Tribolium castaneum: one gene and its partner. Each later gene encodes a partner of the first gene's protein in a complex. Links are inferred from orthologs where the notes say so. Each region holds a gene or a part of one and is shown on either strand. Other genes may lie near its edges.

The links.
Region 2: vir (region 1) and Mettl3 share a complex: the UniProt entries of both Drosophila melanogaster proteins name them as parts of the WMM complex. The link is inferred for Tribolium castaneum from reciprocal best matches to the Drosophila melanogaster genes vir and Mettl3.

Annotation. Positions count from the first base shown.
Region 1 is NC_087394.1:22,059,553-22,063,374, forward strand, and holds part of vir (protein virilizer), read left to right. Parts: intron 1-2,037; coding exon 2,038-3,822. UniProt on the Drosophila melanogaster protein: Associated component of the WMM complex, a complex that mediates N6-methyladenosine (m6A) methylation of mRNAs, a modification that plays a role in the efficiency of mRNA splicing and is required for sex determination.
Region 2 is NC_087396.1:23,067,304-23,071,745, forward strand, and holds Mettl3 (N6-adenosine-methyltransferase catalytic subunit), read left to right. Parts: upstream 1-1,386; coding exon 1,387-1,968; intron 1,969-2,015; coding exon 2,016-2,463; intron 2,464-2,915; coding exon 2,916-3,508; 3' UTR 3,509-3,712; downstream 3,713-4,442. Other genes in the region: Mat89Ba (nucleolar protein 6), read left to right, coding at 1-687, 732-854; protein bcn92, read right to left, coding at 905-973, 1,023-1,143, 1,187-1,263; PHAF1 protein CG7083, read left to right, coding at 3,764-3,827, 3,994-4,076, 4,124-4,251, 4,297-4,442. UniProt on the Drosophila melanogaster protein: Catalytic component of the WMM complex, a complex that mediates N6-methyladenosine (m6A) methylation of mRNAs, a modification that plays a role in the efficiency of mRNA splicing and is required for sex determination.

The DNA of each region.
Region 1 (3,822 bases):
CTAAAGTCATGTTTTAGAAAATCTTCAGCTAAAAACTTTTGTTAATCTCTTCACTGTTCATTATTTTTTAAAGTTGCTATGTTTCATAATAATTAATCGATCCCTAGCACAATGATGGATAATTATATTAAAATTTACTATCATACTTTAGTAGTTTTTTTAATTAAAAAAATTAAATTTGTCAAAAAATCACAATTTGTAGATGTGCCAACACTGGGAATTATTTCCTGGGAAACCGTTACAAAAATAATTTATTTTTATTGTTGATCAAATTATATTCGGAAGTAAAATTACCGTTGGGGGCGCCACTGAGCTAGGTCGAAAACAGTAACCATAAATGGCGGGAAAATGTTTATTTAGATGTTTTGAGCGTTGTACGAATTTTGAGGCTTCACAATTATTACAATGCTTATGCGGAATGACTATTGTATCTTTGGTGTAAGAAACGAATGTTGACAAATTAGAGATGACGAGGAAAACACGAATAACGAATGACTGTTTGGTTCACTTTCTTTATTGGAAAATTATTACAAAGACAGTGAAAAGCCTACCTTTTGGCATAATTTACGTTTAAATGTATCAGCAGTTGTTAATCTTAAATGTAGTTTTGTAGATTTACAGAAGTATTTCATGATTTTTTCAGTGGAAAAATTCTACCTAAAATTCAGACACTTCACTAATTTATTGGTTTCTTGAGCCCAACATGTGCTCGCTGTAATCTATCACTTATAGTCTTTAATTACACAACTGTTTAATAAGACTTTGTAATCAAAATTTAAATCTTTTTCACTTTTTATCCACTTTCAAATTCCAACAGTAAACACTTTATACCACGAAAAACCGCAGAACCAAAGTCAGAGCTAGTATTTACCATCATACACTTTTAAAGTGATTTTCTCTAATGTAAGCAATTAACACTATACACGCAAAATTGTTGAACAATTCATTAAATATCAATTAAATGTGTAATTACTGAAACTTTGTTACTGTTTTCGATATAATTCAAAAGTTATCACCAGAGGACGTCAAGTTAATTTTATTTCCGAATTAAGATCACGACTGTTAGACAACGTTGCCACATATCATTTATTTAAAATTCGTTATTTATCAATAATTTTAATTTAAAAAATTTTTTTACTATCTTTAGCTGCATTGAAGCCACAGACCGTTGAGTTGCACCAACTCAACGCACCGTCGGTTTTTGAGCAGCCGGTAGACTGTTCATATACCAAGAGGGACAAAATTAGTATTACATTTGCTGGTGATGGCTTTTGCCTTTTTAGAGAACGTTATAGCACGCTAGAACTCACTATTTTTATAATTTAAACTTTTGAAGGTCTAAAATGACATGGTTGTCTTTTTGTTTGATTTTTTATTTTTCAAACAAGAAAATCATTTTTTGTCAAAAAATGATCAAATTGGATATAAATTCAAGGACTTCTGATCTGTGTAGAGTAATTTAGCAGATTTTTTTTTAACCATGAACGTCACATATTTTCTTAAAAACCATCTAATTAGATCGAAAATTATCTAATTTTTAGGTAAAAACAAATTTGTTTGGCGAAATTTTCCTCCAACAAGGCGATTCCATTGTCGGTATTATAAAATAAGCTCGAGTCGACATTGGGAGAGAATTAAAAATAAGATTGAAACTGAAAGATTTTTTTTGACAGTAAATTTCACCATGTTATGTGTTTAATTTTGTATTTTTATTTTACTGTTAACAAATTTCTTATCAATATTATGTTCAGTTACCGCCCCTGATAACTAGAACACTTTTCGCCAAATCCAAAATTTTATTTTTATTTTTAACTGTTCTCGAACCCACAAAATTTGTACCAATTTTTGCTCGTACGAATTTAAAATCTTTGTTAAAACCTCAAATAAGGGGTCTTAGTTTTCAAGATCCGCAATTATATGCTTTAGATAAGTATAAATTTTAGATTTGGTGGTACTTCATCTACTTCACTTCGCGAGCCGCCATTGCCCAAATTTCTAATTGACATTCACTGTTTATTTGTTTGTTTCTTTAATTAGAAGACTGGAAGTACAGAACGCGACCACAGCCGCAACGAGCCCGAAAGGCGAGACAGAGAGCGAGACCGCGACAAAACCTATCCTCGCTCTCGTAGCCGCGACAGAGACAGGCAATCACGTGACTACAGTCGTGACGTAAGTCGGGAACGGGATTGGGATCGCAATGACCGGGAATGGGATCGTGACCGAACACGAGACCGGGATCGCGACCGCGAGCGCGACCGATCATACAAACACGACGAAAACTACCGAAGGTCGTACAATAGAGACGAGCGAGAGGAGCGGAAACGGCCGAGGACGCCGCCCATCCAATCACCGAAACGGCCACACACTCCGCACGGAGAGCGAAAAGAGCCGACCCCTCCCGAAGTGGATAGTTTCAGCGAAGAGGAGGAAAGGCGGGAGAAGGAACCGAAGGATGAAGCCACGGTTAAGAGTCCAGCCAAGGAGGTTGTGACGCCTCCCACTGAAGACACCGCTCAAATGGACGTCGAGGAATTCGAGCCGATTTTGAGCGATGAAGAAATCGTCGACGAAGAAATGGACTATGATTTCGGGGCGTACACGAATAATGACGATTTGATCAAGCTGTTTATACCGGGGGTCACGAATTTGCGCAAATTTGAGACAACTCCATCGTTTTGTTTCACGAATGGGGGCTTAAATGTTGACGAGAATTTGAAGACAACGATTGGCATTGTTGATGATTACTTCAAGTCGAGTATCACTAAATACGTTCTGGAGGATTTCACGAAACTTAACACAGAAATCAAGGAAGAGTTTATACACTTATGCGAAAAACTAATAAATACGTTTGGTTCAATTGACCATTTTCGCGACATTATCAAAATTAATGTTGCAATAAAGTCGCGTGATTTTCGCGAAGATAAAGAACTGGTCGAGCAAGTTAATTCGATCACTTGCACTCTTCTTGATTGGTTGAAAATCGCGCTTAGTTACGAAATGGCGAATATTCAAGACCAGCCGGTGTATAAAATCCGCCACATTAAGTGTGGGGTCAGACTGGCAGAATGGTGTTGCAGCAGCGGAGAATTTGTCAAAATTCTCTGGGAGTCAGGTTTCAACATCCACGAAGTTCTCTTAAGTCTTTACGACCAGGAATACATGGCTTTGTCCATCAAACTAATGATAATCAAGGCATTGGACACCTATCTCTTGCACAAATTTTCAATCGAAAAGTTCCTCTTGGGTGATTCTTCGAATACTTCCAATGGTTGTCGGGAGAACGGCTTTCACGACTCTTTGACCGTTTCGAAGAACAATGGTTACAAAACACTGGTGGAAAAACTACGAAAAAATCCTTCAGTCCGGCTAAAGTTTGCCCTAAATTCGACTCTCAAGAAGATTAATTTGTACGAAGTGTTTCACAAGATGCACTCCATTCTCATGGAAATGCGCAGTTGTCCATCCGAGATCAGCCCAGATGATGTGACTCTGATTACAAAGTGTTTGGAACAAATTCTGAATGCCACTCAAAATGGCCAGTTTGTGTTTTCACAACCGAAACGGTTTCTCCCGGTCGCGGCCCAGTTTGAAATGATTCGGACCGAATCCAAGAACGTCCTAGTCGAATATTTCCGAATGTTTGACGCTCTTCAGTGTTTCTTCCTACTGTTGACTTGCCCCAACACCTTGAATTTACCAGCGATTAAAACCCCCATTTTTGAAATCCTCTCCGATCTGTTGAAAACTCCCGAAGGTTTGGAGTATGTGGTTGATAACTACCAAACCGTCCAACCCCTGCTCAGGTGCCTCCTCAGAATG
Region 2 (4,442 bases), on another chromosome or scaffold:
CTCATTGACGACTACCACTTTCCCGACCACGTGATTAATTTACTCAACGCTTCGTTGTTTCTCAAGGGGGCTTCGGTGACCCCCCAAGTTGGCTTTTTGCGATTTTTGAAATTTGTTAGCGAGCTTCAGTGCGATATTCAGGCGGTTGTGGTCAATTTCAACAATGAGATTGCAAGTGAGACACTTGCAGAAATCGACTCGAAACTCCTCCAAAATCGCGAGGCTTTGCCCGATTTATTTATCGCAATGCCGTACGACGGCTGTGAGTCTGTTTTTACCAAAAGGGGGCCCTCGAAGTTGGTCTTGCGGAGGGTCAAACAACTGGCAAGTGAGTCTTTGAATTGTTTTGGGCAAATCATCAAAGGAGAGAGTTTTGGTTCAATTAAAAGCTTGTTTATTCCGAATCTTGAGGGGTACGATGTTATTATTCACTTGCGCCCCCTTTTGAACCCCGTACGACACGAACAAGTCACTGGGGACGAGTCCGAGGGGCAAATTGTTTTGGAGGAATTTAACAGAAACGAAAGCACGAAAATTCCAGTCACTGGCTTTAACCCAGTTCAGTTGTATTTGGCCGAACTGCGCAAACATTACGGCGATTTTGCCAATTTTTTCCACGATACGTACGGAGGTAATTTTATCGGGGTTTTGTGGATACCTAAAGCTTTGGAAAGTCGAGACTTCAAGGTGAGATTTTTAGATGTTTTTTGATTTATTACATTTATTTTTAGGTGTCTTATGCAAGCGGGAGGAAACTTGTGAATGGAAAATTGGAGCTGAACGTGGATGCGTTGATTGAAGACTTTTATATTGTGGGAAAAGGCTTAGTCAAGTCAATTGATAAGAAGAAATAAAAAATCAAACAATTACTCTTATTATTTCTAACCATTACAAACCTTACAAATTAGTTTTTTTGGGCCCTCACGTGCTCAATAACCAGTTTTTCGGTGCTATATAATTGACTTACGACCACCTGGAGATAATTACGTCAATTAACCCCTAAACGAATTAATTGTGAATACCTGTCTTTTAATTACATCTAAATTACGAACTCCTTCATCCATTTTTTGCCTAATCACGTCCTGGTCAGTCAATTGTCTATTTTCCCGAAAACTGTCCCTTATCTTCCTTAAGGCATAGTGTCTACAACCCCCAATGAAAAAATCGTTTGCAAAAACGCCCTTACCTGAAGTTATAAGCCGGAAACTTCTTCGACTCGCGAATCAGAGCTTTATACAACTGCAACGCCTGTCTTTTACTCATTTTGCCCCAATTTTACGAAACCGAAAGAACATAACCAAAGAGTTGAGGTTGTGTTAGTTAGCGTTAGCCGTAACCTCAAACATGTGTTAGTTGTGTTTTTTTGGCGGAAAATAGTCTTTTGAAATGTCGGACGCTTGGGAAGAGATCCAAGCTATCAAAAGCAAGCGGAACATCCTGCGCGAACGCCTGGAAAAGCGCAAGAAGGAGCGGCAGGACATCCTTGGTTCGAGTCTCAACTCGTCACCTGTGCACCTGTCCGACAGCCCCCATGCGGGTGGTGTTGGGGGCGAAGATGTTAAAAGACCAGAGGAGGGTGAAATCGATTTGGTGAAAATCGACCCAGAGCTGGAGAAAGAGTTGTTGAAGGCGCTGAGCGAAGTCACTCTTCAGATCCCCACAACTTCGACGGAATTGGTCGATTCGTTGAAATTGACTTTGAAGCGACATGCCTCACATAAGGAAGTTTGCAATTTGTTGCAAAAATTCTCAACTCAGAAGTTGATCACTATCAAGGATTTAGTCAAAGAGGGGAAGAACGTGGTCGAAGTGACTTTTATCGATGTGACTAAAGTTAACGCAATGATTGCGGAGTTTTTGCCTGAACGGGTGAGGGAATCCCTGAAGCGGAAGCGAAACGACTCGGAGAAAAACGAAGACGAAGAGAAGAGGAAAAAAGAGAAGAAGGAACCAAAAGCTGACATCATGGTAATTAACTGATTGATTCTGTCCTTTTAATTAATTAATTTCCCTAGTCTTTACTATCAATGCCCTCAACGAAAGAAAAAGAGAGTAAAAAACTGGGCGAAGAAATTCTAGATCTGTTGAGTAAACCAACGGCCAAAGAGCGTTCGCTGGCCGAGCGCTTCAGGTCTCAAGGGGGCAAACAACTGATGGAGTTTTGCCCCCATGGGACTCGCGCCGACTGCGAACGAAACGGAATCACAGACTGCAAAAAATTGCATTTTAAAAAAATCATACAAAAACACACTGACGAAGCTTTAGGGGATTGTTCCTTCCTTAACACTTGTTTCCACATGGACACTTGTAAATACGTCCACTATGAAGTCGATCGCTGTGGGCAAACGGAGGGCGTAGCCCCGGCCGCCACCGCCGTCTCAGTGGCCCCAAAAGAAAGCACTACCTTGTACCCCCCGCAGTGGGTGCAGTGCGACCTGCGCTATCTCGACATGACTGTCTTAGGTTTGTTTGTCGGTCTTAATAATATTTGCGTTTGGTCGTGACTTCCAAAATTTAAAATCTTGTGAAAAGCTGCCATAATACGTCAAATGAGCCCAGAATTCACTGGAACAAACCGTTTTGCTCTACGACTTTTAGCTTTTGAGTTATAAATTTTTTTGTTGTAGAATTAAAAATTCCTCTTGAAATGGCTACCTTCATTTTTCAGCTCAATTATGGCAAAACTATTCAAAAAAGTGGAACAATTTTGATGGAAATCAATGTAAAATAATCCGGGGAATCGATTGGTGACGAGAAAATCGCCAAATACCCAGTAGTTTTTAAGTTACGAATTTTTTTCATTTTATTTTTTTTTATTTTTTTTGCAATTATCTCGAAAACTGTCGGAGAACGATGATTTTTTTAAATAACTGTTTTTCCCCGACATTTCCGAAAATATTAATGGTTGAATTTAGGAAAATTCGCCGTGATAATGGCGGACCCCCCCTGGGACATCCACATGGAGCTGCCCTATGGGACCATGTCCGACGACGAGATGCGTCAGCTGGGGATCCCCCAGCTGCAAGACGAGGGCCTGATTTTCCTGTGGGTGACAGGCCGTGCCATGGAGCTGGGCCGCGAGTGCCTCCAATTGTGGGGCTACGAGCGCGTTGACGAAATAATCTGGGTGAAGACGAACCAATTGCAGCGCATTATCAGGACGGGGCGCACCGGCCATTGGCTGAACCACGGCAAGGAGCACTGTCTCGTGGGCATGAAGGGCAACCCCCAGAACCTCAACCGGGGACTAGACTCGGACGTGATCGTGGCCGAAGTGCGCGCCACGAGCCACAAACCGGACGAAATCTACGGAATGATCGAGCGACTCTCGCCCGGGACGCGCAAAATCGAGCTGTTCGGGCGCCCCCACAACATCCAGCCCAACTGGATCACTTTGGGGAACCAAGTGGACGGGATCAAGCTGGTCGACGCAGAACTGATCGAGAATTTCAAGAAACGCTACCCCACGGGGAACTGTATGGGGCCCCCCGGTGACACGACCCATTAATTTGTTTATGTTTTGGTGGAGTGGTGGCGACTTTTTGCCTTATTGACTGGTGGTTTAGTGTCTTTAATCGCGTGGAGTTGGGGGGGCATCAGCTGATTTTGACAGATGTCAGGTTTGACAAGATGGCGCTTGGAAGTTTTACGAGTTTTTAGACAAAGGATCGTTCGATTTAAGAGAAAAAGAATAAACAGTTTTGATTTGTTGCTTGTTGTGTATTATTGTTGATTAAAGACTGGTTTTTATTGATTGCGGAAAATGCTGACGCTCAACGTTGTTCCTGAACGTTCTTTGGGCTGTGAACAGTGGGAGTTTATTGTAGGTGGGTTTCCCTTTTCTCTATTATTTTTATTGCGCGTAACATGGTTGACATCGTTTTTGCGATGGGGCGATGTGACGGCCAACACTGAATGGAAATTTGACCCATTTTACGTAACGCTAATTGGTTGGCGACCTTCAAAATGTAATTTCGAATTTTCTCTTTTCAGGAATGCATTTTTCCCAGGCTATTGCAATTATTCAGTCCCAAGTGGGCAACATAAAGAATGTACAAGTCCTCTATAACGATACTGTAAGAAAGAGCGGCCCCAAACCACACACTCACTAACGATTTTTCAGAACCCTTTAGACATAGACCTCGTTCTTAATTTACCCCAGGACGGCATTAGATTATTTTTTGACCCCATTTCACAGCGGCTAAAAATAATCGAAATATACTGTATGAAATTAGTCAAGTTAAAATACTGGTAACGTTTTAGCCCTACGTTCTTTTTTCTCATTTGTTATTCCAGTAACCTCCCATTTAACTCGCCAGAAGTACTGCCATCAATCGAACAAATTGAACACTCATTCGGTGCCACTCATCCAGGAGTATATGATTCGGAGAAGGAGCTATTCATATTGAATTTTCGGGGACTTTCGTTCTATTTTCCAGTCG